Tribolium castaneum: one gene and its partners. The main gene of each other region encodes a partner of the protein of the gene in region 2 in a complex. Links are inferred from orthologs where the notes say so. Each region holds a gene or a part of one and is shown on either strand. Other genes may lie near its edges. The genes, in order: TfIIA-L, Xpd, Mat1, Polr2J, Ciao1, TfIIFalpha and Mms19.

The links.
Region 1: Xpd (region 2) and TfIIA-L share a complex: the UniProt entries of both Homo sapiens proteins name them as parts of the TBP-based Pol II pre-initiation complex. The link is inferred for Tribolium castaneum from reciprocal best matches to the Homo sapiens genes ERCC2 and GTF2A1.
Region 3: the proteins of Xpd (region 2) and Mat1 are in contact, whole or in part, in a crystal structure (PDB 6TUN), measured with the Homo sapiens proteins. The link is inferred for Tribolium castaneum from reciprocal best matches to the Homo sapiens genes ERCC2 and MNAT1. Residues at the interface, in NP_000391.1 of Homo sapiens: Lys274, Tyr285, Ala318, Val319, Pro320, Gly321, Ser322, Arg324, Thr325, Glu327, His328, Arg334, Arg335, Glu338, Gln363, Arg364, Val365, Cys366, Gln368, Lys370; in NP_002422.1 of Homo sapiens: Val68, Glu71, Val72, Arg75, Lys76, Leu79, Arg85, Glu86, Leu92, Tyr95, Asn96, Asp97, Leu99, Glu100, Glu103, Glu104, Phe107.
Region 4: Xpd (region 2) and Polr2J share a complex: the UniProt entries of both Homo sapiens proteins name them as parts of the TBP-based Pol II pre-initiation complex. The link is inferred for Tribolium castaneum from reciprocal best matches to the Homo sapiens genes ERCC2 and POLR2J.
Region 5: Xpd (region 2) and Ciao1 share a complex: the UniProt entries of both Homo sapiens proteins name them as parts of the MMXD complex. The link is inferred for Tribolium castaneum from reciprocal best matches to the Homo sapiens genes ERCC2 and CIAO1.
Region 6: Xpd (region 2) and TfIIFalpha share a complex: the UniProt entries of both Homo sapiens proteins name them as parts of the TBP-based Pol II pre-initiation complex. The link is inferred for Tribolium castaneum from reciprocal best matches to the Homo sapiens genes ERCC2 and GTF2F1.
Region 7: Xpd (region 2) and Mms19 share a complex: the UniProt entries of both Homo sapiens proteins name them as parts of the MMXD complex. The link is inferred for Tribolium castaneum from reciprocal best matches to the Homo sapiens genes ERCC2 and MMS19.

Annotation. Positions count from the first base shown.
Region 1 is NC_087395.1:25,200,802-25,204,554, forward strand, and holds TfIIA-L (transcription initiation factor IIA subunit 1), read right to left. Parts: upstream 2,382-3,753; 5' UTR 2,173-2,381; coding exon 1,685-2,172; intron 1,443-1,684; coding exon 992-1,442; 3' UTR 728-991; downstream 1-727. UniProt on the Homo sapiens protein: TFIIA is a component of the transcription machinery of RNA polymerase II and plays an important role in transcriptional activation. TFIIA in a complex with TBP mediates transcriptional activity.
Region 2 is NC_087394.1:27,625,898-27,630,163, reverse strand, and holds the start of Xpd (general transcription and DNA repair factor IIH helicase subunit XPD), read right to left. Parts: upstream 2,969-4,266; 5' UTR 2,790-2,968; coding exon 2,785-2,789; intron 2,734-2,784; coding exon 2,634-2,733; intron 2,589-2,633; coding exon 2,334-2,588; intron 2,286-2,333; coding exon 2,052-2,285; intron 2,005-2,051; coding exon 1,784-2,004; intron 1,734-1,783; coding exon 1,600-1,733; intron 683-1,599; coding exon 153-682; intron 1-152. Other genes in the region: Tbce (tubulin-specific chaperone E), read right to left, coding at 3,134-3,435, 3,482-3,767, 3,817-4,266. UniProt on the Homo sapiens protein: ATP-dependent 5'-3' DNA helicase. Component of the general transcription and DNA repair factor IIH (TFIIH) core complex, not absolutely essential for minimal transcription in vitro.
Region 3 is NC_087396.1:14,732,143-14,736,666, reverse strand, and holds the start of Mat1 (CDK-activating kinase assembly factor MAT1), read right to left. Parts: upstream 2,885-4,524; 5' UTR 2,767-2,884; coding exon 1,819-2,766; 3' UTR 930-1,818; coding exon of another isoform or gene 708-929; 3' UTR 655-707; coding exon of another isoform or gene 467-654; 3' UTR 399-466; coding exon of another isoform or gene 311-398; 3' UTR 122-310; coding exon of another isoform or gene 17-121; 3' UTR 1-16. Other genes in the region: Ras64B (ras-like protein 2), read left to right, coding at 17-121, 311-398, 467-654, 708-929.
Region 4 is NC_087395.1:21,130,783-21,133,734, reverse strand, and holds Polr2J (DNA-directed RNA polymerase II subunit RPB11), read right to left. Parts: upstream 1,368-2,952; 5' UTR 1,125-1,367; coding exon 1,072-1,124; intron 1,017-1,071; coding exon 927-1,016; intron 877-926; coding exon 666-876; 3' UTR 621-665; downstream 1-620. Other genes in the region: mitogen-activated protein kinase 1, read left to right, coding at 1,666-1,793. UniProt on the Homo sapiens protein: Core component of RNA polymerase II (Pol II), a DNA-dependent RNA polymerase which synthesizes mRNA precursors and many functional non-coding RNAs using the four ribonucleoside triphosphates as substrates.
Region 5 is NC_087395.1:25,661,382-25,664,829, forward strand, and holds Ciao1 (probable cytosolic iron-sulfur protein assembly protein Ciao1), read right to left. Parts: upstream 1,926-3,448; 5' UTR 1,780-1,925; coding exon 1,147-1,779; intron 1,101-1,146; coding exon 579-1,100; 3' UTR 565-578; downstream 1-564. Other genes in the region: pkaap (A-kinase anchor protein 10, mitochondrial), read left to right, coding at 2,109-2,136, 2,189-2,272, 2,316-3,448. UniProt on the Homo sapiens protein: Key component of the cytosolic iron-sulfur protein assembly (CIA) complex, a multiprotein complex that mediates the incorporation of iron-sulfur cluster into extramitochondrial Fe/S proteins.
Region 6 is NC_087400.1:9,147,033-9,151,493, forward strand, and holds the start of TfIIFalpha (general transcription factor IIF subunit 1), read left to right. Parts: upstream 1-1,556; 5' UTR 1,557-1,686; coding exon 1,687-1,710; intron 1,711-1,765; coding exon 1,766-1,956; intron 1,957-4,461. UniProt on the Homo sapiens protein: TFIIF is a general transcription initiation factor that binds to RNA polymerase II and helps to recruit it to the initiation complex in collaboration with TFIIB. It promotes transcription elongation.
Region 7 is NC_087400.1:4,137,297-4,141,490, forward strand, and holds the start of Mms19 (MMS19 nucleotide excision repair protein homolog), read right to left. Parts: upstream 2,973-4,194; 5' UTR 2,904-2,972; coding exon 2,816-2,903; intron 2,771-2,815; coding exon 2,568-2,770; intron 2,521-2,567; coding exon 2,340-2,520; intron 2,297-2,339; coding exon 2,091-2,296; intron 2,042-2,090; coding exon 1,898-2,041; intron 1,848-1,897; coding exon 737-1,847; intron 692-736; coding exon 570-691; intron 516-569; coding exon 415-515; intron 366-414; coding exon 221-365; intron 176-220; coding exon 5-175; intron 1-4. Other genes in the region: GCS1 (mannosyl-oligosaccharide glucosidase), read right to left, coding at 3,140-4,194. UniProt on the Homo sapiens protein: Key component of the cytosolic iron-sulfur protein assembly (CIA) complex, a multiprotein complex that mediates the incorporation of iron-sulfur cluster into apoproteins specifically involved in DNA metabolism and genomic integrity.

The DNA of each region.
Region 1 (3,753 bases), on a different chromosome or scaffold from region 2:
GAACTGTTTTGATCCACCCCTATGCAAAATGATCCGGGGAATCGATTGGCATCGAGAAAATTGCCATATTCCCAATAGTTTTTTAGTTATGAATTTTTTAAAATTTTACCAATTTTTGCATTTAGCAGCAAATTGCTCGAAAACTATTAGTCGGAGAACAATAATCTTTTTTGAAAAAGATAGATAATTTAAAGAGCTTTCCAACGATAATACACTTCATGGGGTTATCTCTAATAGTTCCGGAGCTATTGCTCGAGAAATGTTCCGGGTACCCAAAACCGACAAAAACTGCGACGAAAATTGAAAAAATCAAACATCAAAAAATCGAACATTTGGACTTTTTGTGGACTTTTAACAACTTTTGTGAGTTGTTAAGACATGTAGAAGTCCATAAAAATTTGCTGGAGTTAGTTTAAAAAAAATTTTTTTTCACCTCTTTGAAGGTAAGTAAGTGTATAACTCAGGAAATTTGAGCAAAAAAATTGAAAATTTTAAATTGCGTGAAAAATTAGTATAATAGAGAAAAAAAGGCGCTGAATCCAATGGAACGAACCGCACTGCTCTACGACTTTTAGTTTTCGAATTATGAATTTTTTTGTTGAATATAATTTTCCATTATAGGCATTGCTCTACGATTTTTAGTTTTTGAGTTATGATTTTTTTTCAAAAGAGCTGCTAATTTGCGATTTTTGTCATCTTCCAGGTGTTAGAAAAACGACCAATGGTGTAACTTCAAAAATAGTTTTATTCACAAACGGCTATCGATAATTGATAATACATAGTAAAAATTTCGATTAAATCTAAACGCCTATTATTAGTTACATTTATAATGGATAACACAATTCTACAACTCAGGCTATTCTCCCATTTTACATACAAAAGTTCAATAACTTAAGTCGGAACCCAACGTTCCCTTGAATAAGTGACGGGTTTTGCGTGCAAGTGACTTGAAAATAATAAAAAAAAAACAAAACTTCTTAAAAAACACTAATTACCATTCCGCATCACCGTTAGCCTTTTGGAAGACATAATCTTGTCCACTCAAGTTCATTATCCCATCTTTCAAATAAAATTTCCACTTATTCCTATTTCTTATGATTTTATCGTACTGACAAACAACGATGTTATCAGTATCGAACAAATCAGTTGGGTCGTCATCAGTCACATCGTCTTCGGAGTTCAGGGGCTCTTCTTCACCACCTTCTTCCTCCATTTCTTGATCCTCTTCGTCCTTATCGTCATCGATATCCTCGTCGTCGTTATCGTCGTCAGACCCGTCCTCATCGTCGTCGGACGTGTCCACGGGGCCGTCCACCTGGGGCACCTTCTTCCTAGGCAAAATAAACTCGATTTCGATTTGTTCCTCCTCCTCCTCCTCGGCGTGGCTTCCGTCCGTCTGGGCGATGTTTCGGTTGACAATGGTCACGATCTGCTGCTGCTGGCTGTTAAAAACACGTTATCTCATAACAAAAAACTACAATTATTACAAGCTTTTTTATTTATTCCGAAGAGAACATTATTAAAAATCCGATAAAATTTTAAACAATAATTAGAAAATTTTTAAAACAATTATTGACAAAAATATCTGCATAAGTGTGCACAAAACATGTATTTTTCTTTGTACAGGGTGACCCGAAAACATTTTGCGTGGACGATTTAAGTTAAAAGGGGGCTAACTGACTACCTGTTAAACACCGCGTTGACGTGCTGCTGGAGCACCGAAGACGCAATATTGGCGGGCAAATTCATCATCCCCGTGATGATCTGCCCCGTGAGCACCTTCTGGAGCTGGTTCCCCTGGAGCGCCGTGGCGGGGACCTGTATCGTGAGTATCCTGGGGCCCTGGTCGCTGCCGGGCTGCGCCGGGAGCGTGATCTGGATGGGGACCATCTTCGTCTCGGCGATCTGCCCCACGGGGGCTGCCGCCGGCTGCGCCACATGCTGCTTGGGGAAGCCGTTGGTGGCGGTCATCTCCGCCTTCTTCGCCTTCTCCTCCTCGCTCTGCACCGCCTTGCTGGCCTTGAGCTTGGTCTCCCAGGTCTGCTTCAGCTCCTGGAGGACCTGCTCGTCGACGCCGTCCTCCAGGAAGATCTCGCGGACGCCGCTGATCACGTCGTCGATCACCTCCTGGTAGATGCGGAGCACCGAAGTCTTGCACAGGGAGTTCGACATGGCCTTGGGGGCGCACCACACTACGTTAAGCTGATTATGAACGGTTTCCGAGAGTGGAAACGGGCGATAATGGCATTTTTACGCGCACATATGCACTTTTGAGGTTAGGGAAATCAGATGGCCGACATTTTGATGGAAAATGAAGGCGAGAGATGAGGAAAATTTTGGGGTAACGGCAGGACGCGATCGGGGATAGTGCGCAAGCGCCGGAATGAAGAGTTTTTATCAATTCTTATCACAAAAAATTACTACCACGACAAAAAAGTCGTATGGTGATTAGTGAGTCGTGGGGTTTTTATGGGTACAAAAAAGAGATTTAAGCAATAAGAAAATAGTAAAAAAGTGGTGTATTGTGGGTTGACTAAAGCACAAAATGGCTGCCCGAATTATTTTACCGCGAAATACAAAAATTAAGTTAATTTACGATATAGCAGAATTTAGCAAAAAAAATCAAAATTTTTAATCTCGTAAAAAAAGCTGGTATAACAAAGAAAATGAAACAAACCGCATTGCCCAACGACTTTTACTTTTTGGGTTATGATTTTTTTTAGTGTAAAACTTTAATTGCCTCTGTAACCGGAACCGTTGCCCGGAGCAGCTCCGGGTTTGGACGAAAAAATAGATAATTTTAAGCGCCATCCGTTTTTTTAGTTTGATTCTCTAAGTCTTAGAGTTTCCGAGAAAAACGCAAATAAAGTTTCCATCTTCGCTTTTTTTCCATTTTCAACTGCCGATTACGGCGAAATTATTAGAGTTATCTAAAAACGGAAGAATTGTAGAAAAGCGCAATAAAAACTCTACAAAATGGCATAGGACTCAAAGCGATATCTCGCAAAAAGTTTTATAATTTTCAATCGCCGATTACGGCCAAACTAAAAGAGCTAGGAAAAAACTCTTTTTTCCATCGTAAAGAGCACATCAAAATCTATAAGAAAGGATAAGTGTTATTTGATTCTGAGACACTTTTAAAAATGGCCATTTTGGAGGGGAGGGAGGTCTTAATTTATTTTTAATTTTTATTATATTCTCAATTACGACTAAACTATTCGAAAAAGGGGAACTGTTTTGATCTTTACCTATGCAAAATGATCCAGGGAATCGATTGGCGTCGAGAAAATTGCCAAATTCCCACTAGTTTTTTGGTTACGAATTTTTTAAAATTTTACCAATTTTTGCATTTATCTGCAATTTTCTCGAAAACTATTAGTCGGAGAGCAAAGATCTTTTTTGAAAAAGATAGACAATTAAAAGAGCTTTCCAACGATAATACACTTCATGGGGTTATCTCTAATAGTTCCGGAGCTATTGCTCGAGAAATGTTCCGGGTACCCAAAACCGACAAAAACTGCGACGAAAATTGAAAAAATCAAATATTAAAAAATCGAACATAAGGATTTTTTTTGAACTTTTAACAACCCTAGAGGGTTGTAAAGGCACATATAAGTACGAAAAACTATGATAGAACACATTAAAAAAATTTTTTTTTCACTTTCTTGAAGGCAAGTGTTAATACTCATTAAATTTTAGCAAAAAAATTCAAAATTTTAAATCTCGTGAAAAGTTGGTATAATACAGAAAATG
Region 2 (4,266 bases):
CTTCCTCACAAAGAGTCATGAAAAGCTACGTTCAAAAATGCAAAAAATAAACGGTGTTTATTCCGCACATATACTATAAATTTTGTGCAAATTTATTTAAATAACTTAACATTCAATGGTCAATGATGAACTCCACCAACCTCTGGACTTACCATTGGTAGCAAACAAGGCCTGGCCAACGTCATAGTGAACGAAGACATGATCACAGGATGGAAGTTCAAAATCTTGGGGTACATATCTAGAGGGGATAGGGTTCCAGAGGTTATAACCACGGTTTGAAACCGATCAAAAACCGGTTTTATGGCAATCGACGAATCCAAACAACTGAAATGTAAGATCGGGTTTGACACCGTCGGTGTCTTATCATCAAACGGTTCTACGATTATCGTAAAACCTTTCGTATAAGTGGCCACCAAAGTGGCCAAATGTGTGACTAAAATGACCGGACTGAAGTCGGTCAAGTCTGATATTTCCAAAGTTCTCAACAGAGATGCCAAGCGTTCAGCACAGAAACGTAACGGTTTTCGTTCAATACAGACTTTGGATTGGACGTCTTTTAAAAATCCAGCAGGGCTTTCTTGCACCACGTGCTGGACTCGCAGCCGAGTTTTGAGGTATTCGAGGAAACGTTTCAGGAAACTGACAAAGTGCTCGGCGTTGCGAATATTTCCAGGGACGGCCTCTGAAAATTAATAAATTACGCAATTTAATTTTTTTTCGAATTACTGACATAATAAATAACAATCAGCCCAAAAAATTAATTCGGAAATGGCAATATTTTTGCCTCTGTCTAGCATTTAAGTGCATTTTTGAGCTACAAAATTCTTCTCAAAGCATTACTAAACCAGGCGGACAAATCACAAAATATCATCGAAAATGCGATTATTTTTGCATTTTCCGAGCATTTTGTATGGTTGTTTTAGCCTGAAGTTCAATGATTTCGAATAATGCCCTCAAAAATAAGACAAAAAATAAGCAAATAAGTTTACTTTTGAGAGATTTCAGCAGAAAAAAGATTCTTATTTAATCGAAAATGACATTATTTTTTGCTTTTTTCATGTGTTTTTATTTAGAAACAGTTATTTCGTTGAAGATTGTTTCGTTGAAAAATATTCGACTGAATTAGGTCAACCAAATTTGGCTTTACCGAGTGTTTACCAGGTTTATGAGAAAAAAACAAGGTTTTCCTCCAAAAAAATTCGTTGAAAAAAGGATGAAAATCCAGGAAAATATATCGCAATTGATGCTACCTATTTTATTTATTTATTGTCAGGTCAGGTCAGGTCAGATCTGTTTAGTTTTTTAACTTTGTTAAACATGTTTAAAAATTATACACAAATCGAAAATTATACTATTGAGTTTGTTTCATTCGAATGACCTCGTTTTCGAGTGAAATTTTGCTAAAAATAAGTTAAAAATTATCAAACTTTGAAAACAGTGTTATTTTTTAAATTCTCAAGCTGTTAAGTACAAAGTTTTTTGGCTAAAAATCACTAAATTTCTTCATTTTTGTCAACGCATTAAGCTGTGTCTATATCACTCAGTGTTGCCAACTTAATTTCAACGTCACGGAATATATAAATCTAATTCGGGTATTACCCTGGAGGATGGCGTCGGGCAAGACCGGATTGGCCAAAATGACGTCAGTGTCTCGCGCCACGCTAGCGTCGCGCAGCCCCTCAACTAATCTCTGATATTCTTCTTGCAATTTTTTGTGATCGTCTTCACGCATCCTAAAAAATTTTAAAAAATCCAGAGAAAACTTAAACTTCCGGGGATTTACTCGGCCACAGTACGTTCCAATAACTGGATGTTGGCGGAAGCTCGATCGATAATTCGTTTGTTGATTTTCACACTCATTGAGTCGATGCAAACATTATCGATATTGTGAGCCTCATCGAAAATAACAACTGACTCTCGTGTCAGCTCTTTGGAGACGACTTCGGCGATCTTGGGGTCTAGTAAATAGTGGTAACTGTAGACTACGATATTCGCGTAACTTATCTAGGAAAAAGGGTCAGAAGTGCAATGTAAAGTGTGACCTCAAGTACCACAAAACGAGACAGGAAATAGGGGCACCAGTTGCGGTCCCGTCCGTACTGTTTCAAATCATCTATACTGTAAACCCCAAACGGCATCGTACTTTCTTTGCCATCCAAAGCGAAACCTTCGTAATACTGACAAATGGGAGTTGTATCATCGTAATTGTGCCTCTCCCTTATGTAACTCGCCGTTAGTGCGTGGCATTTTCCGTCCACAATCTTACCCTCGCGCTCAGTACTCACCTGAAATTTGCAAAATCAAGCCCGGTTATGCACCCCCAAATCACCTACTTCCGGGTGAATACATAGATTCTTCCGTGAGGACAAAACCAGCCCCAGGAGATGGGGGTACTCCCCGTCCAACTTCTCATAATACTCGAGCAGTTTTTTCAATTCTTCCATAACTTTCTCGATTTCGGGGACAGTACGAGAGCAGTAGATCAACTTGCGGACGTCATGGGGGTGCTCGAGCATGTATGCAACAACGAGGGAGAGAATGGTGGTGGTCTTACCCGTCCCTGAGGGCATTTCCAAAAGGCAGTGGCCCTAAAATTAACATAAAAAAGGGGCTGTGAAAGGCGGGGAGCGTACTTTGGCGTCCAGGGCCCGCTTGAGCTCGCACATGTAGGCATACTGCTCGGGGTAGATGTAGTCATAGGGGAAGTACACGATTAAGCCATCGACGTTTAGTCTAAAATTTTCGGTTTTGAGGCAACTCAAGTGCCAATAGTCGGGTTCTTACTTCATTTTTTGTATGGTGCTGGGTGAAACCGTGGTGTTTACATTGACCCGGTAGTTTTTTTAGGTTATGGCATGTTTGGAAAAAAGTGCGGTTATGCAATTTTTTGTAATATTTTCTAACAATAGGAACGTTTCTATTGCTGCTAATCGATTAGTAAGGAAGAAGGGGGCCTAAAAATTTAAGTCCTGTGAGCTGGAACCACGTATTCTATCAGTTATTCAAAGATTCTATAATAAGTAGGGTTATGTAATGTATTCAAGTATTCAAGAAGAAAACACCTTTTTATTTGGAAAATATTTATTAAAAACTTTATTGAATAAATTAATGGTTTTGTACAACACAAAATCAATCACACTTTGTCTTTCACGATAATTTTATCACCATTTTGCATTGAGTAAACTCCGATTTCTTTCATTTCATCCTCTAGAAGAATCTCGATTTCTGGATCGCTCTTGCTGGCGTAAATCAAGTGGGGCCTTCCACTCAAGCTGAACATTTTCTGTGTGAGGACTATAAGTTTTTGCACAGTCATTGTGAGAGGCACTTTCTTTTCTACCGTAAAGTCCTCAAAAACTATACTTAATTGGACCAACGTATTTTTAATAATTTTCGGTTTTGAGACAAGTTCACTCTCTTCCAGCTCGCCATATTCTGCAAAAATAACCGTAAAAACGTAACAAAAAAAATATAAACAGACTTTGTATCAATTCCAAATATCTGTTGTGGGTTTTGAGAAAATCAGCCTCTTTGTTGGTACCCTTGGCGTCCAACCATTCAAGACCGTACTTTTTCATGTAGTCGTATTCAGCCCCCCGTCTCTCAGTGGCTTCAATCTCAACCCCATTTAAAATTTTCAAGTTGGCAATTTTTGCGATTATTATTTGATGGATAGTGTCAGGTTCTTCCGATTCTGTGATGGGGTTTTTGGAAAATCGCAGATTTTCTAAACTTTCAAGCCGATTTAACTCAGCCACAGAACGCCACTAAAATCAATCCTCTCATGAACGGAAACGAACAAAGTTTCAGTCTTACCTCACGGATCAAGTTTTTCACAACACATAATTTTTTCATCGCTCTGAAAGCTTGTACTTTGGGGGAATCACCCTCAAACTCAATCAACTGGAGCCCAATATTCTCCAGAATAAGTTGCTCCAAGTGCGGTAAATCCCCCAATTTGCAGACCTCCGTCCAAAACTCAATGTTATTCCCTTCAAGATCGAGCAACTTTAATTTGGTGAAAAACCCCTCAGGTGTGCTAAGCCCCCGGATTTTGTTATTCGGAGCTCTGAACTCTTCAACTGACGGGAAAATGCGTCCAAGTTGGCAAATGTGCCCCCAGTCCAAGTCCATACACCCACAAATCAGAGTTGTCACGTTTGGAAAACTCTCACTAATCGTTGGCAAGTCCAGCAAATTCTCACTAACATTCAGCCAAAAAAGCCTCGGCAACTGGCGGCAAATCTCAAAAACGCTCTCCCAAGA
Region 3 (4,524 bases), on a different chromosome or scaffold from region 2:
GAAAAAGGAAATTAAAATGTCTAAGGTAACGGACAGGCCCAACAGTTATCAGACGTACAAATTGGTTATTGTGGGTGGAGGTGGTGTCGGAAAGTCCGCAATAACTTTGCAATTTATCCAGGTAATTATGCAAACACCGTCAATTTTGCATGTTTTCCGTTGTTGAAAAGGGCTGGTTTCATTAATCTAGCGTATGAAAATCGTCAGGTGTTATTGTCCCTAATTACATTTTCCTTTATATGGAGTGAAGTGTGTTTAACCTTGTAATTTATCCTACACTTTTGTGACAAGTTTCAAAACGAAATTCCAGAGCTACTTCGTTACCGACTACGACCCCACCATTGAGGACTCTTACACCAAACAATGTGTCATCGACGATATCCCCGCAAAACTAGACAGTAAGTAGCGCCCCAATGTTTACTCCCAAGCCCCAAAATAGCCCAAGGCTAACCCGCCAAAATTGCAGTTTTGGACACCGCCGGTCAGGAGGAATTCAGCGCCATGCGGGAACAATACATGAGATCGGGTGAAGGCTTCTTGCTCGTCTTTTCAGTAACAGAAAGGTCCAGCTTCGAGGAAGTGTACAAATTCCACAAACAGATCCTTAGAGTGAAGGACCGCGACGAGTTCCCCATGCTGATGGTGGGAAACAAGGTAATTCCTTGACCCTAATCTATTTTCCGTCCTTTGTAAACAGTTCCGTTTAGGTGGATCTGGAGCACCAGCGAGTCGTTTGGCAAGAGGAGGCGCAGCAGCTGGCCAGACAATTAAAAATCCCGTACATTGAATGCAGTGCCAAAATGAGGATGAATGTGGATAATGCCTTCTACGAACTGGTCCGCGTTGTGCGAAAATTCCAGTTATCGGAAAGACCGCCTCTAAAGACCGGCTACATGAAAAGGAACAAGAAAAAATGCTGCATGCTGTGAACGCGCACGCTAGACGCTTATTTTTATGTACACATCACTAAGGTTTTATGATATTTAAACGTAATTACGCTGTTAGGACATATCTGCACGGTCTTGTGTTCTTCTACAGATAAACAGGGGGACATTTGGCGTTTTCCCAGTGAAGTTTCCCAATCAAAATCCTTTTTACACTAATCAAAACTCCAGTGACCACACCCTTAGTGCGTATTGAATTTTCGTTGACCCCTTGTTTGTCTGATTTTAGCCGTCAAGCTCTATAAATATTGTATATAATATGTAGCTATAAAGAGAGGCAGACTTATATGAATATGACTCAAGCTTTTTTTGTATATAAGTTATTGTCTACCAAATAGAGAGTGAAAAACACCAATTTTATTTTTATATAAATTATATTTTTCTAGGCTACTAGTAGCTAGAATAGTTTTATGGATTCTTTGAGACAAATAAGATTGCCTGATTGTTCATTTAGAGATCTCGATAAAATTATTTCAACCGAAATAATTTTCAGTACATCACGTGAGATGATATTTACATTATGTAATTCCCATGAACACTGCCATTTGATGTTTTAATAGGCAGAATTGATTTAACAGAGTGTCAATTACATCTAATAAGCGAGTTACTAATGATATTTAGTTAGGCGGTAATAGACTTGACTCATATTTTTACACTAAACAAACGTTTGGTTTATTTCAAACTTACCAAAATAGCCCCCTTATTGATTGCTTAGTTTAACAGGTTTATCGCAAGTACAATTAGATGTAATCAACGGTGCTATTTATCGCGGGCACACTTTCTAGTTATAAATTTTAGATTTGTGTGTTCTATTTTAACAAAATAAATGTTTTAATGTACAAAAAATATCTTTATTCTCCAACACGTCAATAAATTAATGCACCGGCGCTTTCCTTACATGATACAGCCCCGAGAAGGCATCTTGCAGAGCCCTAACACACGCAATATTGGACCTGAAACCGCCAGCTCTCTCTTGCTCGTTTTCTGCCCGTACATGGTTCGTGTACCCCATACTGGCGATTTCTTCATCTGTTGGCAATTTGGGGCCATCGGTTTGCAAAACCAAAGGTTTATAAACAAATAAGGGGCCCTCTTCGATGGGAACAGGCAAAAATGAGCTTTGTGTCTGCCGCCCAATTTGAATCCCTGTTGAAAAGTGCGTCTTTTTGGCAGGCGCCGCCTTAGCCTCCTCCTCTTTGGCCTCCTTGGCTTGTTGGGCAAACGTTTCGACAATGTTTTTAGCATTTTCACTCGAAAACATCAACTCATCAATTAGCGCTTCCTTCTCCCGAATCTTCTTCTTCTTACTTTCAGTTTCCTCAATAATTATCTCCTGCTTACGCATCTCTTGCTGCTGTTTCTCCAACTCTAAGAGTTCCTCCAGCTCGTACTCTTCTCTCCCCAGTTTGCCTTTATTTTTCATTATTTGTTCGCGATTGTCGCGTTTGTATTGCTCAATCTTTTTGTTCGTGTTAACCACGTCGATGTTATTCGTCAGGTTGTAAATGATCGTCTCGACTTCCTCCAAATAATCGTTGAACTCAGCCAGCGAATTAAAATCCTCCTCTTTTTTGTTGAAATCGCGCAAGACGCGTTTGCGAATATCCACCTCTTTTTCAACTGAGGCATCCTCGAATAACTGGACGCGGAAGTTGTTGCGCCGGAGTGGAATGCGGCACTCGGGACAGCTCCCGGAGCCTTTGAGGAACAGCAAGTCCACGCAGCTTTCGCACAGCCCGTGGCCGCACACGTTTACCATCATTTTGAGTGATGGGTTTTGGAACTTTGAGGTCTTGCATCGCGGGCACGTAAAGTCCTCCATCGTGCAAGGAAAAGGGGGCAACTTTTTCGCACATCAACAGGAGCACATAACCTTACTTGCCGGCTGTCACACACATTGCTGTTACCACGTTATTTAATATTCGGAAGTAAAATTACCGTTGGGGGCGCCACTGAGCTAGGTCGAAAACAGTAACCATAAATGGCGGGAAAATGTTTATTCGGATATTTTGAGCGTTGTACGAATTTTGGGGCTTCACAATTATTACATTGCCTATGCGGAATGATTATTGCATCTTTGATGCAAGAAACTTATGTTGACAAATGTGAGATGACGAGGAAAACACGAATAACGAATGACTGTTTGGTTCACTTTCTTTATTGGAAAATTATTACAAAGACATTGAAAAGCCTACCTTTTGGCATAATTTACGTTTAAATGTATCAGCAGTTGTTAATCTTTATTGTAGTTTTGTAGATTTACCGCAGCATTTCATGATTTTTTCAGTGGAAAATTCTAACCTAAAATTCATAACACTTCACTAATTTATTGGTTTCTTGAGCCAAACTTTGTGTTCGCTGTGATCCATTACTTATAATCTTTAATTAAACAACTGCTTGATAACACTTTGTAATCAAAATTTAAATATTTTTCACTTTTTATCCACTTTCAAGTTCCAACAATAAACACTTTATACCACGAAAAACTACAGAACCAAAGTCAACGCTAGCATTTACCACCACGTACTTTTAAAGTAATTCTTTCTATTGTAAGTAATTAACACTATACACGCAAATTCATTAAATGTCAGTTAAATGTGGCATTACGAAAATTTCTTTACTGTTTTCGACATAGTTCAAAAGTCATCACCAGAGGGCGTGTAGTTAATTTTATTTCCGAATTGAAATTGCTTATAAGCAGAATTTGAGGCAAATAAGTATCAAAACAAATACAATAGCAAATACGAAGCCTAAGCAATGTTTTTCTTGATAAATTGAACCTTCAGCAGTTTTTATAATAGTTCAAATGCTCCGTGGCAGTAGATCAACCGTTTAAGCTGCGGGAAATGAGGCGCGAAAAATTGTAATTTGAAACCCAGTTTTAAATTATTACTATAAAAGCTTTATTTACACTGACTGTGCACACAAAAATAAAAACACTATAACAGTTTTTTTGAAACTGTAAGTTTTTATAATTATATAATAAAATTATATGATTTTATTAAAAAAATCTTTTTTTAATTTATTCTTCCCTCCTAAGGCTTAAGCACAGATTATATGGAGTTTACTCAAGTAAACAGACTTGTTGCAATATTTTGTGATGAATTAAAATGCTTATATCAAGTACAATAATTATTAAGAAGTTCTGCTTGAAAAAAAATATGATATTGAAGGTCAGAAAACAAAAACAAAAGCTATTTATATCTAATATTCCCTGGGAATAAATCAAATGAAATCATCTTTCGTAAAGTATTCTGCTTTTAACGTTCATGTGTACCAAAATTTTTAATTTACTAAAGACAAGAAATTGTGTCACTTAAATAAAAAAACACAAATTGAGAGTTTCTATATTAAACTAAATCCCAGCGACAAATTTTTTGAGCCAAGAAAACCCACCAAAAACTCTCAATTTGTGCTCCATTTCATTACAAAAAATGCAAATGAGTTGTTGCAAAACTCCACTATGAACTGAAATGGGACAATATGTAAGTTTTTTGATTTACGTTTCTAGACGATTGAACAAATAAGTAGGTACATAATTATACTATTCTTATTAACCTTTGATCTGTCTGATTGTTCA
Region 4 (2,952 bases), on a different chromosome or scaffold from region 2:
GCAAATTAATAAATATCTTGTAAAAATTTCTAGTTAATATTTATTTGACACAAATTAGTTGTTTTGTAAGTTATCCGTTGATGAGGTTAATTGTAAATAAAGGATTGTGAATTAAATAAAAATATATTTTTCTGTTAATAACAGTTACATGCTCGTTTCTTTCTTCAACCACTATAATTATAATTAAGTCAGAAAAAATTTCTGGAAAGGTAAACAAAAATGAAATTGTTCTTAAATACCTAAATGACATAACGGTGCAGTCAGAATTATTTTCAAAATTTAGCCAAAAATCATCCAAGTTTTAAAGTATTTTTGAGGTTTTTTTTTTAATTGAAAACTCACTTTCGATATACAGGCTAATTTTTAAATAGACCGATAAAATTTTATTACTCATGGTGGAGCTCGCAAAACGGACAGCCTGTGTACACGGATCACTGAGGTTTTACTGTATTTACGTAAGTGCTTTAAAGCACAGACTTTGCCACCTTTTAATAAATCTTAAATAGCTTATTTTGAATAAAAATTGAAAACGAATTATTAACCATCATAAATAAACAAGTCATTTTAAACTTTTGACGCTGGGACGCAAGACATATTTTTGGGTACATAACAAAGACTGATTTATCGAAGCATAAACTTTATTATTAGTGAATAAATTCAAATACTTAATCTAAACCTTCTTTCTTTTCCTTGATCGCTTCCTTAAAACGTTCTTCAAACAAAGACAACTCTGAAATCAAATCTGTGATAGAATTCATCAAAGCTTCTTGAGGCGAATAATCAGATGTTGTTTGAATTCTCAACACAAATTTATGCTCAAGTGGATGAGGCACCTTGTATCCAGCAAACAAAACGTTCGGATCTTTTAACAATTGGCTAAAAAATCAAAAATAATTCAACCTAAACCTTAATGTTTTGTTACACACTTTCTGATCATGTTTCCCAACGTGTGGTCTTCTTTGTTTATGGTAAAAATAGCCGCGTTTGGCACTTTTGTGTCTTGTTCCCTTATTATCCTAAAAACACAATTTGTAAAAATAAATTTTTGGTCCAGAGAATTTGCCCACTCACTTTTTCTCTCCATCATAGAGCAAAAATGACTCGAAGGTTGGTGGCGCATTCATCCTGAATGGAAATACTGTTCACTGAGCTTTTTAAACCGCTTATTAATTTTTAACAACTTTTTATTAGTGCGTCACTTTTTTGTGGGTTATGTCACCTGTCCTGTCATCTGTCAAAAACCAAATATCGGAATTTTTTATTTTTCTGTTTAAAAACTTATCGAACGTCTAATAGGGTATTACAAATGCCGCCAAAATGAAAATTGTAGCCCTATTGTGGGTTCGATAATGGAAAATAAAATTAGGGTGCTTCCCGACTAGTGTTCAGTTGGTCCACCAGGGGGCGCGTTATTTGGCTATCTTTTCTGGGAATAAATTCGTTTTAAAAACCAAAAAAGCCTCAAATTTGGAAAAATCCACGTGAAAACGTTACTAACGAGTCTACAATTAGTTGGAGTTTGAAAAAATTGGTAATAAGTGTGAATAATAACGATCTGATATCAGCTGATAAATATTAGGGATCGGCTCCTCTCTGCTTCAGTCTGTGGCTTCAGTGTGCGTGAGTTTGTCATCGAGGAAGGTAGTTTAGGAGGTTTCGCTAAAAATGGCGGAAGCCACAGGTGTATCAAGTGTAAATCCGAATGCAGAAGTTGTAAGGGGTCAGGTATTTGAGGTGGGCCCCCGTTACACGAACTTATCATACATTGGAGAAGGCGCATACGGAATGGTCGTGTGAGTAAATTTTCCTTATCATTAGTCGCTGTGGTTTTCTAACTTACACGCCCTAAAATTGCGGATATTGTTCCAGTTTCAGTAACTCGATCATTTTTTAGTTTTACCGGTTTTGTACAAAAAGAAAAATGTTCATAAAGTTGGCGGTGGCTTGTCAAATGGTTTTTTCATTAGAGGTTGAGGTTATGTATACATAACTTCCTGTCATTAGTTTGGAAGAAATCGATGTTTTAGGACGGTAGCCTGGAGACAAGTGATTTATTTAAAGTTTTTGGCTGATTTCGGGCTTTTCCGAAATTGATTCATTGGCTCCGAGTTTCATACATGAAACAATTTGCTATTTTTAACTAACAAAACATTTAAAAACGTCAAATTATTTTATTTTTAGAAGACAACACCGACTACTTTTCGGTAATTTTAGCCTAATTGTTAGAATAAATTGGTATGATTATTATTTTGTGACTTTTTTCTTATTTTCTGTTTTTTAGTTTTATTGTTTTTGCATATTATGCTAAAATGAAATAATTTATTCATTAATTGTTGACAGTAGCACTTATTTGGTATATCAACTAACTTTTTTTATTAATAATTAATATTGTATTATTACTACTATATATTATACTTATTATAGATCCTACATTTAAAAAACATTGAAGTTATCTACGCTTACAAATTTTTAAAAAAATTGTTGGGTACCTTATTAAATACAGTGTGTATCACACAATTTTAAGAGACCTGTTTTTAAAGTGCTCATCCAAATACCATGCGATTTACTAAACTTTTGATCTAGTTATTCATGACAGTTAACGTTATTACGTTAACCCGATGTCCATTACGGAAGAAGGTTCCAACCTGGATTCCAACATAATTTTTTTGTTCTTTGCTGAACATTTTGGACATAGTGACAGATAAAGCAATGCTGAAGATATTTACGCAATTCGTTTCTGCTGGCGAAACTCATGGTAACTAGATCAAAATTTAAAAAAATCGTATTGTACAAGGTGTATACAAATAGTAATCTCACGGAAATCAGCGTTTGGTATTAAATACTTTATTTTTTCTCTATGTATGTGAATTTTTTCAGAATTTTTCTATAATTTCGTATACAATAAATAAATATTTATTAAAAATATTAATACATGTATGCCATGTCGGTTCA
Region 5 (3,448 bases), on a different chromosome or scaffold from region 2:
AGGCTAGCCAATCATTAACGCCCCCTTCGACACAATCCCAGCTCGTATGGGGCGAGTAAACCGCAATTTCATGTCTAATACATTGGATTACGATTCGTTCTTTCCAAGTCCTGTGACAAAACGATTAGTTTTGATTGGCTGTGTAATTTGGGGCGTACTTGTCAGAGACTGTTTTAAGGCCTTGAAAGATATTAGGGTGATAGGAGATAATGAGCCCCGCTTGGAAGTTTTTAGCTTCATTGACCACATCCTCAGTGAGGTCGTTTGTTAATAGAATTGTTTTGACCTGTTTGTCGGTCATTGGGTCCACCAGGAGCCCCACATTGTCCCAGCTCTCGGCAAGGGTCAAGGGGGCGTAGGATTGTAAAGTTTTGACGATTTCTTTGACCGACATTTGGGGGCCCGTGCTGTAGTAATTTTTAATCCGACTTAGGGCCGCCAACCGTCTTATTAACATCTGTGGAACGAAAAAGTAATCTCAATGGATGGGCGACAGTAGGCTGTGACGTTCAATTGTAAACAATTGACATAAACAGCCGCCTATCCATCAAAGAAAAACAAAGGAACGTCAAACAATTTTATTCAGGGATAAATTTCCACAATTTAATTTCCCCGTCGTCGCTGCACGACACTAAAATATCACTAAGAAGGGGGTTCCAGGCGACGCAGTTGACATCCTGGGCGTGCGCCCTCTCAATGCAGGTGACTTGGCTAAACGTGGGGGCCTCTAAGTCGCCCCCTTCCTCCTCTTTAAAAATTCTGATAGCGTCGTCACCGCAAGCGGTGGCGATCAAGTCACTTGAGTGGTTCCAAGACACGTCATAGATGGTTCTGTTGTGGTACCCCGACATGGTACACACACATTTCCACGTTTCCTCCGTATTTTGGCCCTTTTGCCAGATTTTCAACGTGGCGTCGTCGCTACACGACACAATCCTTGTCCCCGTTTTGTCCCAACTTATGCTCCAAACCGTTGACTCGTGCCCCTGTAAGGTGGCAAAACAAACCCAGTCGTTGTCTGACTGGTCCTCTTTGAACAACTTAACCGTGTTGTCGTAGGAGGCCGAGGCGAGGATATCGTCATGTGGGTGCCACACGACCTGCAACAACCTCCATAACAACAAAAATCGCCCCCTTGCTACCTACTTTCTTCACATCCTGTGTGTGCGCACTCAACACGGCCGCGCAATCATACTCATCCTCCTCGGCAATCTCCCAAATCCAAACCGACTTGTCACGGCTACAAGTGGCCAAAAATCGCCCCGACTTCGACCAGGAAACACTCTTAACCTCATTTTCGTGCCCCTCAAGAGTGGCATTGCACTCGAACTCGCCCGATTTCTTGTCCCAAATGCACGTAGTGGTGTCAAAGGAGGCCGAGGCGAGGTAATTGCCACAGGGGGACCACGCAATTTCCCGAATTGTGCGTTTGTGGCCATCGGTTAGAATTACTTTATTCGACCACTTCGAGTCCGAGTCTTTCGACCAGATTCGGATGGTCTTGTCTTCGCCACACGAGGCGAACGTTTGCCCCTTCGGGTGCCAACTCACGTCCCAAACGCGCCCCGTGTGCTTGCATAAAGTTTGAAGGGGCTCAAGCTTTGACATTTTGGGGTTAGGGTCGCGAACAACGACAGGGTGGTTAAAAAGTGGTCTCGGGGGACGCACGACGTGCCAAAAGGGGGCAAATGTACTTAAGGGGCTTACCAATGCCACAAAACGTGAAAAAATGGGTGATTTTATTACGTTTTTGCTTCGTTGAGTTGGCCGCACTGTCATTCAATGCAGCCAACGCATGATTATTATTGCGTTTTTTTGCAATTATTTACCAATAAAATTGCGTACTTAAGTGCAAAATCAATTATGTTTCTTCTAAATTAATTGTTCGCTTAATTTTGAATTTTTTTTTCGTGGTTGAATGTGCGATTTTTGTTTTTTTTTGCCGTCGGTGTGGCCAGCCTCATTTGACGTTTACATTTTTTGTGCCGTGAATCACAATCAACTTTGTTTATCAAAACAATCGGTTTTGTGGGTGTTTTGGGGCCTCTTGGCACTGTTGGGTTGATCGGACTCGCCCCCGCCCCCACAACCCATCATTACGATGAACCATGTTACAGTTTTGGAGGAAATCAAAAGGTGCGTAATTTCGTAATTGATGTTTGGGTTTTCCTAATTAGTGTTTCCAAAGCCGGCAATGACACGAAATGCGCAGCCCCAGCGGTGACGCCGCGGCCCCGGCCCCCGAAGCCGCCCCCTCTGGACCTCGATATCGGTGAGTACGAAATTGTAGAAATTGGGGTTATTGTGTCTTAAAGATGAGTTTGAGGCAACGAGGTCACGGCTATGTCGGACCTTGGACGAGGTTTTGGGCGATAAGGGGGCTCTGGGCTACTTTACCCAGTTTATGGAGGCGCGAAACGCCGCCAAATTTATCAATTGTTGGGGGGACATTGAGTCGTTTAAGTGTGAGATAAGTACGGATTGCGACTCCAGTGACACCCAAAATTCGAGTGATTCGTGTGAATCTAGTCTAGTTGAGGGCGCTGTTGCGATTTTTAAAAAGTACATAGCTCAGGAGTCCGCTCACAATGTTAAATGCCCCGAGTCAGTTCGTAACGAACTCGTTGAAAACATTTGTGACTTGGAGAAAATCGCCAGTTGTTTGGACCCCGTTCAGAGTTTCGTTACCGAAGTCATGGAGAAGGAGTATTTTGAGGCGTTTTTAGCCAGCGATTATTTCTGCAAATACCAGATCGATGTTTTGACGAGTGGCCAAGTGGCCCTTGACGATATTCTCTACAACGAAACGGCGCTTTTCTACTTTATGGAGTTTCTCGAACAGGAGAATTCGTGCAATTTGTTGGAGTTCTGGATCGCTGCCACCAACTTGCAGCAACATTTGACCAATCAAAAGGAGTTTTTTGACCCAATTGAGGCCCAAAATGACGCTGTTGTGCTCTACGATAAGTATTTTTCGCTGCAAGCCCATTGTCCGTTGGGTTTCGGCGATAAAGTTCGCTTCGAAATCGAACAAAATATTTGCGGGGAGAACGGACTTGTCTTGGATTGTTTCAAGTTGCCCTTGAAAATCGTCGAACAAGTGTTGGAGAAAAACTATCTCAAACCGTTTTTGGAGTCACAGTTATTTTGCAAATATCTGTCCGAGTTGATAAACACCGTTCAGTCTAACGATTATTTTAATCTCGAGAATAATCGGACGCTTTCGTCCGATTGCAGCAGCGAGAAGAGTTTCAGTACAAATAGCGCATTTCTAGCGTTAGAGTTAAACTTTAATAATAATAATTGTAAAAAGAAGGATAAAAACGCAGATATGAGTATCGACACGAGGCAGTTGTGCGACCCCGATTCGCTCTGGAAGAGGAGACGAACGCACAGATTATCCTGTGGGAGGATCACAGCTTTGGGTAAATTTGAAACTGATTTGGAG
Region 6 (4,461 bases), on a different chromosome or scaffold from region 2:
TGTTACTAAAATTGTAACAGAAATAAGTTGGAACAAAATGATCTGAAAAATCGAGTTGCCTGCACAGTTAAAAAATATTATTTTTTCACTGTGAAACCGTGAAAAAATAATATTTTTTCACAGTGAAAAAACGTCAAACTTCGCGCATAGGTAACCATGCATAAATGTCACGATTTTTTGACGGCTGTAGAAAAAAATAGTTTTAACGTTGGCACAAAAGTCATTCGGAGGAATTTTAGTAAAAAAAGTTGGGTTCAGTGTTTAATTTATTTTGAAAAAATATCATTAATGTTAAATCCAAGATGAATATGTAGATACGAAAACATAGAAACAGGGTTAAATTCCGTCTCAGAAAACAGTTTTTGATGTAAATGTGACAAAAAGTTCGTAATTAACTCTGCAATTTCTAATTTTTAAGAAGAAAGTAACGAAAATGCAAAATAATCATGTGACAGACAATTAAATGATATGAAAGAATAAAAAAAGTGCCACAAGTAACGCAGTCAGTCTGCCATCGAATTTTGAACTTCTTGAGTAAAAATGGTGAACAAATCTAACTTTTCTTTTAATCAATGGCACAATTTTATTGTATGTTTGGAAGTTTTTTCGACTAAAAATGAAACTATTGAGTTAGAATTCTGTTTTTTTGCGATTATTTCAAAAACTGTAAGAGATAGATCTATGAGATGTTAATAAGAGTAATAAGTGTAGCTCTAATAAAATTTTCATGCACTTCAAAAAAATAATAGCTAATGTAATTTATATTTTCGATGATTAACAATTATTTCGATGATTAATTATTATTTTACAATTTTATCAACCTTATTAAAAAAAATTATTCGGTAAAATGCGACGTTGGTGTTTTTACAGTTTTGAAACAGCTAATACCTACTTATTTAGTGAAGTAATAAAAAGGAAATTGACAAAAATTATTAAATATAGAAAATATCTAATCAGTTTGAGTTTTGGGATTATTATTTTACACAAAACCTTAAAATGTTTACGATCTTAGTCATACCTACATTTCATCATGTATTTCCTGTGGATATTTTTTATAAAATAATAGAGCAATATCGGATTATCAATTTCATCCGAATTGCTTTAAAGTTTTTGGAAGTATTTTGTATTATTAAAATTATTTTTGGAATTTATGAAATTGCTGGAATTATTTGCGGACTTTTGGAATAATTTGTGAATGACTGGAGTTTTTTGGAATTATTCGAGATTATTTGAATTCCTTAGGACTATTTGTAATTTCAGGAATTACCCACTAGGGAATTATGAAAATTACAGGAATTAATTTGGAGTTTATACAAATTATTGATATTTCGAAGTTTTTGGTTGATTTTTTGAAATTACTAGAATTTCTGTCGATTTTTTTTGGAATTAAAGTTAGTTGTACATTTTTTTTTAAATTAAAAGCTTCCCGGTTTTTATGGAATTTTATATTGTAATAAATGTTTCTGTTTGTTAATAAAAATTAGAAAACAATAAAAAAAATACAACTGACTCCACGGTTTTTGTCACGTTAGAAAGTATCTGCCCTAAGTATGGCACCTGTGTTACCGACATGGTGACCTAACCTCTAAACGAACTTGTTTGACAGCTGTTTTCTAAATAGGTCTATTTTTTAATTTGAGTTTAATTTAACTAATAAATTTTGCAATTAATTGTAATTTGGTTAAAATGGCGACAAGTTCAGCCGCCTCTGTACGTATAAAATAACAGTTTTAAGTTTTCACAAATTAATTTTATTCTGTTCAAGCAGAAGCAATCACAGGCCCCAGCCGGTGTTAAGGAGTATACAATCAAAGTACCGAAAAACGTCCAGAAGCGATACCATGTAATGAGATTTAATGGAAATCTTGAAGTGGATTTTGCCAAGTGGACGCAGGTCAAAATGGAAAGGGAGAATAATTTGAAAGAGTACAAAAGCGTCGAAGAAGAACAACCAAAGTAATACATAACATAACGCACTTAAATGATCACTGATAACAGCCCAACAAATTGCATAATAAAAAGTATCTAAAATTTATTAACAAACGTCAAGATGTCATGTCATGTCAAGATTAACAAATGTCAAAGATACGTCAAATTCATGGTCGCCTTCGATAAACCCATTGTCCGAAAATTAGTATTGTTTTTATTATTTTTTTAATTTATTTATCTACGTTTAACCTAATTAGTTTTCAAATGAAACAAACAAAAAACTAATACACAAAAGTTGTCATTTTAGCAAAATCTTAAAAAAATTCATATCTTCGTTATTATAAAAGATACACATTTGAAACAAAGATATTATACTGACACTTTTTTACAGAGAATTTAATGTTATCAGCAGTTTATTTTAACTTTTAGTTTAGCTGCAATAACATAAAGTTTTATTTTTTTAAATAGGAATCATAGGCGGCTGTGATATTTTTGAAAATACTATTTTTCTCTGATTTGATATATCTATTTGTGTAACACATTATTTTTAAATATTTAAAAAAATATAACATTCCGCTTTTTCTTTATAGTAGGCTATGAAAAAATTTTGGATTTTCAATTGAAACTGTGAAAAATATATTGCCCAACAAGTATTTATGATTTATTGATTTTTAAACATTTTTTACAGAGAATTTAATAATGTTATTAACGTTTTTTTTAATCATTAGTTTAGCTGTAATAACCAGTGTGAGGAAATTTTATGGGCGAAGGTTAGTGCATGGGCGCGCGCTTGCAGTCAGATAAACCTTTAAATCGAAATGTTGTGGAACAGCTTACATTGTTGATATAAGTTAGGAAAGAGTATTAAAAAATGTTTAGACAAAGAATTTTTTGTTTCAACCCTCGCGAAGGGGCTGAAAAGACGTTTTAGCTAAAAATTTGCAAACACCTAAACTTGGACACATTTTGCGTTTACATACTCACATCTTCCTTCTGGATAAAGCTAGAAACTCCGTTTTTTTGCAAACAAATTTTCAATAAATGCAGATTTATACGTAGTTTAACAAGGTAGAGTTTTGATAAAGGGAAACCAAAAAAAAAATACATTTTCTTGTAACGTTGCATAATTGTGTAGTGAAATTTTCGAGATGCGAGAAAGTTTTTTAATTTAAAAGATAGACTCCCACATAATCGAGACGAAATAAAGCTAATACTTGAAATCAATTTTTGGTGCAAGAATCATTTCGTTATCTGTAAGACTCACCAAGTTATTGCAATTTAAAATTACTGCAAAATGCGCCTGAGGTGAAACCGAAGCGTATTTCCCTCTGAAGCGTGTTCATCGCCTTTGACAACATTTCGAGAGCTAAAAATCGTAATTCGTAAATAATTAAAAAATAATTAATGTCACTTATCTATTAATATTATACCTTTACTTTTAACCGCCCTAACTCTCAGTTAATTTTAATAATATCTAAAAAGTCAAAAGAACATTTTTATCTCATGTACTTATTTAAAAAGCATATAAGTGACCCAGTAAAACTAAATTGTAAAATTGTAATTCATTTCAAAGTATTCTTTGGTGTGACATTAATATTTTTTTAATTATTTACCATTTTTAGCCCTTGAAATGTTTTCAACCACACCACGTTTCAAAGGGAAATACGCTGCGATTTCACCTCGAGCACATTTTGTAGATAACTAAATAATCCTTCTTTAAAGTCCTTTTTAAAAAAATATACAAATCGTAACGTTTCTGACGAATCAACAATTGTAGTTACACGCTGTGGTACTTGGTTAGAAGCAAATTTCTAAAAATTTTAATCAATTAAAATCATTTGTTTATTGCTTTAAACGACGATGCACAAAGCATTAAATAATGTAAAACTTTAGTTTTAACCACAAATTTAGTTTCTCAACTTAATTTTATTGAAAATAATTTTTGAAATATTCCAACTACGATCAAATTTCTAGAAACGTAAAATTTTAAATTATCCATTACAGTTGAGAAATTTGAGTCTACGTTGATAGAGTTAAAATCTGTAGAATGGTCATTACAAGATAAATTTAATGCAAAAATTGACGCAGTTGTTACTAGAAATCCCGATTTTCTAGTTTTAAAACAAATAGCGAATAATGTACCACCTTCGACATATTTTGCATTAGCACCAAACTTTTTATTTACTCCTGTAACCAGTTGTGATGTAGAAAGATCTTTTTCGAAATTCAAAGATATTTTAACCGCAAAACGGAATCAGTTTTCGAGAATTTAGAAAGAATCACAGTTATTCAAGCGTATTTCTCAGAGAAAATGATTAAAATATTTTTAATTAGTTTTTAATTTTAATTTCCACTGAATTAAAACGAAACATTTTCAAAATGTAATAGTGACTTACGCTCCACTGTATTAAACATCTTTATTGGTGTCCATGTAAGATTGAGGAAATGATGAAGTTATTTTTTAACGATTATGTCAAATTAGGTGCCTTGTCAGGGTTTTGCTTCAGAAAATAATCTCAACAAATATACCGC
Region 7 (4,194 bases), on a different chromosome or scaffold from region 2:
TTACCATAGATTTATCATAAGTTGCTAATTTGAGAAATCTTGCCAAAAAAATCCCCAAATTTTCCTCAATAACTTGTTCCTTAGTTGTGATAAAATCGCGAATTAATCGCAAAATTACAATGAGAATCTCATGATTGGTGGTGTGGTCAAGACACGAAATAATTAATTTCGAAATCTACAAAATTAAATTAATTGGTTAAATTCAATTTGAAATTATTACTTTTCTAAATTGGACTAAAACGGCCGGTTTTGGTGCGAACTCTAGTAAATATCCAAGGCCTGATAAATACGAATTCTTGTCTGGACTGTAATTCGCACTTAATTTATTCGTAACTATCGTAAAAAACTTCTGCTGGTACAAAAATCTACAAGTTATTTAATTAAAATTATTTAAGTGCTAAATTATCAACTTACGCAACATTGCAATGACTTTTGGTACTTAAAGACTCCGAATTGGACATAATTGTGCGAAAACACGGAGCTATACTTTCATCTTTATCCAAATAATCGATTAACTAAGGCGGAAAATTAATTAATTAACGACTGAGCTAACGCAATTAATTGCCTACTTTTGTGGTCCAGAATGTGCCTAATTCGTGATTACGCATAATTAAGGCCTTGGTGAGCCATGACGTAAGAATGGGGTCGGTTTTAGTGTCAACCCGTTCCAAAAATTCCCTAATTACATCATCTACAATTAATTGTAATAATTAATTAAAACACGGAATTAAATTACCATTGGGACATTTGTTCAAAATATTTGCAACCAGTTCTATAGCTGCGTTACGTCTCAAATTATCCCTCTCCCTAATTATAAATTCAATTAATTCGCTTAAAATTTCGTAATTAATTACAACATCGCGCCTTAAACAAGTCAAGATCCCGCTTAGTAAAAAAATATCCTCAATCTTAATTCGACTTAATTCGTTTCGAATCATTTCATTTTGTTTTTCGCTCGACATTCGACCAATCACAATTTTCAAAACAAATGCAATCGTTTCGTGACACGTATCACCAGTCAAAGCCATCTCGATCAACACATGGGTGATATTTTGTGCGTTTAAAACGTCAAAAATCGCGTCACAATCGTCAAATTTGATTAAAACTTTTTGTAATGTTTTTATTGCACAATTTTTCAAAATTAAATCGATTAAATGGGCCGTGAAAAATTTTTGATTTGCCAAAGTCACACACAAGGCGTCTAGAAAACATGGAGTATAGTTTTCTGTATTACCGACCACGTGCGTAGCCACTTCGTTCGGGTAATCCCGTGCTAAAGCTTCAAGACATTGTAAGACAGCGCCTTCTTGTGGCACTTGTAACAACTTGACGTAGTTTTGGTAAAGTAAAAGTCGGATTTTTTCGGGTAGTTTCGGCGAAATGTCACGTAAACAATCAAAAGCGATTGGTGAGTCAGATTTTACAAGTAAAACCGGTACTTCCCCGAGATTTTCTAAATCGCTGGCAAGTGCATACAAGTCGGTTAGTAGGCGCAAAAATGGTGTTTTTTCAGCCGTTGTGTTGGCTATATTATACATGTTTGTTAATATGGGGACGGTTTCACGCGCTACGAGGTTGGCAACGCTGTCCGATGCGTTGGCAACACTGATTATCAAACGTGCCGACGGTTGGAATAATTTTGAGTCGGGTAAAAAATTTCCTTTGATTGTATCGCAGATATCTTTGACCGTTTCTGTCAAATTTGGGTCACGTGTGTGCTTAATAACAGCTGTCATTGTTGTTAAACAGGCTTTTTCAATTGCTGGATTTGTCGTTTGGAACAGTTCTTTTTGTATGAGTGGCCATACTGTGGTTGGTGAAATATCAAAAGTAACAAATGATAGTTCCTACAAGTTTGGTGTTTAGTCTGCGGTCCGCTACAAAAAAAACCACTTACAATAAGTCGTAACGAATCCAATTTAGCAATTTCAAGCGAAGAATCGAATTTTTCTAACGCTAATTGAAGGGAGAATTCGGCAAATTGTGGAACGGCAACGAGGCAAAAGGCGAGCTTTTCAGCGAGGGTATTTCGAGTTATGCCCTGTAAAAAATTATTATTGATTGTCGTTTAATGGGGACAAAGTGGGCACGTTTTCGTCCTGTGGCGGAGCCCTAAAATCAACAGGGAAATAACACGCCAGGATTTCGAAAGCGTCCTCAGCCAGGTGCCCCAATTTGACTTTTCGTAAAAATTTCGGAAACCAATCAAAGAGAAAAATCAGGTTTTTGGGGCTGCGTTCGCCATCAACCGCCGAAATAACACCGTAGACAAAGTCGGGCCCCATTTCATCCAATTCTGGAAAAAAGACTGATATTGAATTTTAAAAGGGGGCCCAAACCTGGCCAAAATTTCTCCAAACAAGTCTCGAAAATTTGATAAATTGCTAATCTGTCGTTTTCTTGTTGTTGTTGGCACGAGACATTGTGGAAGAGTTGGACGAGAAAAGGGCCAGGGCCCCCTTTCGGGGCCCCCTCGCACCGAATTAAGGCGAGAAAACCGCGCAAAACGGCCGGTAACACCTAAAATCGCCCTCAGTTAAAAAACAGTAGCCCCTGGACTGACATACAAAATGATTGTCCTTAAGCCGGTCCGTGTAAAACTGATTTAAAAATTTTAATTGATTTTCGTCCAAAACATCGGGGGGCAAAGTCTCGACGACACGTGTCAACACCCACATGCCCAGCTCGCGCCCCTTGGGGCTCGTATCGATAAGGAGCCCCCCTAGGTCCTCGACAAGGCGTAACAAGGTCACTTGACCCGATTCAAGTGCTGAAAGTTGAGGTTATGTCACAATGTGGGGCCACTTGTACGTACCTTGGGCCAATTCGTGGCATTTTTCGGCAAATTCTTGGTCATCTATTGTAACATTTTCGAAATTTTTGGCCAAATTCGAAGCCATCATAACCAAACTTTTTGACAGATGATAATTGACCACGCATGCCCCAAATAACCTACTATAACCTTCATTTTCAAATTTCAAAAAATTACGCATTTAATTGCAGATTAAATTAATGACGCATTTAATTGCAGATTAAGTTAATGACGCTTCTGTAAACCGACCCTTAAACTTCCGTATAGCGCGGGTTTTATTTTTAATTTTTAAATAAAACACAGGACCGTACTTAGATTTTTATTGACTCAGTATTGCTCGCCCATAAGTAATACAACCAGGGCCGTCCAGCCCGTAAAAGGCCTACAGCCACTCCCCTCCCCCGTTTCGTCATTATACTGTTCCCACAGATAACCCGTTTTGAAATATTGCGTCATCACGTTTTTAATCACATTTTCCCGCAAATCTTTATAAATCGCGTTGGCTTTATCCCGATAGGGCCCCTCCGTATTGGCGTAGAAATACAAGGACCGGACTGCTAGAAAATTGATATTTATCCAAATTTGGCCCCTCCAATATGGCGGATCATGTTCGGTGTTGCGTTTCATATACAGGGGTGAATTTTTGGACAGTGATCTTAGACCAAACTTCGTCCATAACAAGTCAGGATTTCGAAGGTCATCCAAAATCTGGCCCAATTTCAACGAATCCGAATCAATCATTTGTAACAAAAACGGAAACAAACTGACGTAACCGAAAGTCGAGTCGACCAATCGGTATTCGGGATTTTTCAAGGTCACACGCACCATCTCCATGTTTTGGTTTTGTGACCTTGGTAACGGTTTCGGTCGTTTTAATTTAACAGAATCAGTGTGGTAACCATAATCGGCGTAACGCGATGCGTAATTAGACCAATGTAAATTATCCAATAGGAAATTGTCTTTCAAATAATCGGCAGTTTGTTCGTATTTATACCCATCACGGTCCAACAGTGTTGCCAACCTTGCTAAAGTATCACTAGCTATGGCGATCCAACAGTATAGATCGACGTGGTATTCGGCTTCGGTCGGATGTGACGCTCGTGGATAATCGTCAAGGCCCGAAGTTAAAGTTTTCGGATTCAGCTCACGATTGGTTGTTGCGTCACGCCCCCTCCACCGGTACATGCCAGGCCCCGCCCCTTTTTGCGTGGTATTAAACCATGCAAACCACGCCTGTAACCTTGGATACAACCGTTCCAGTGTTGCCAAACGTCCCTCGCTCAACTTATCGTAATATTTACGCAAAATGTATTGCAACGTGAGGAAGAAAGTCGGCGGATTTGCGTTAGTATTTCGTTGGACGATAAATTCTTCGGGTATTT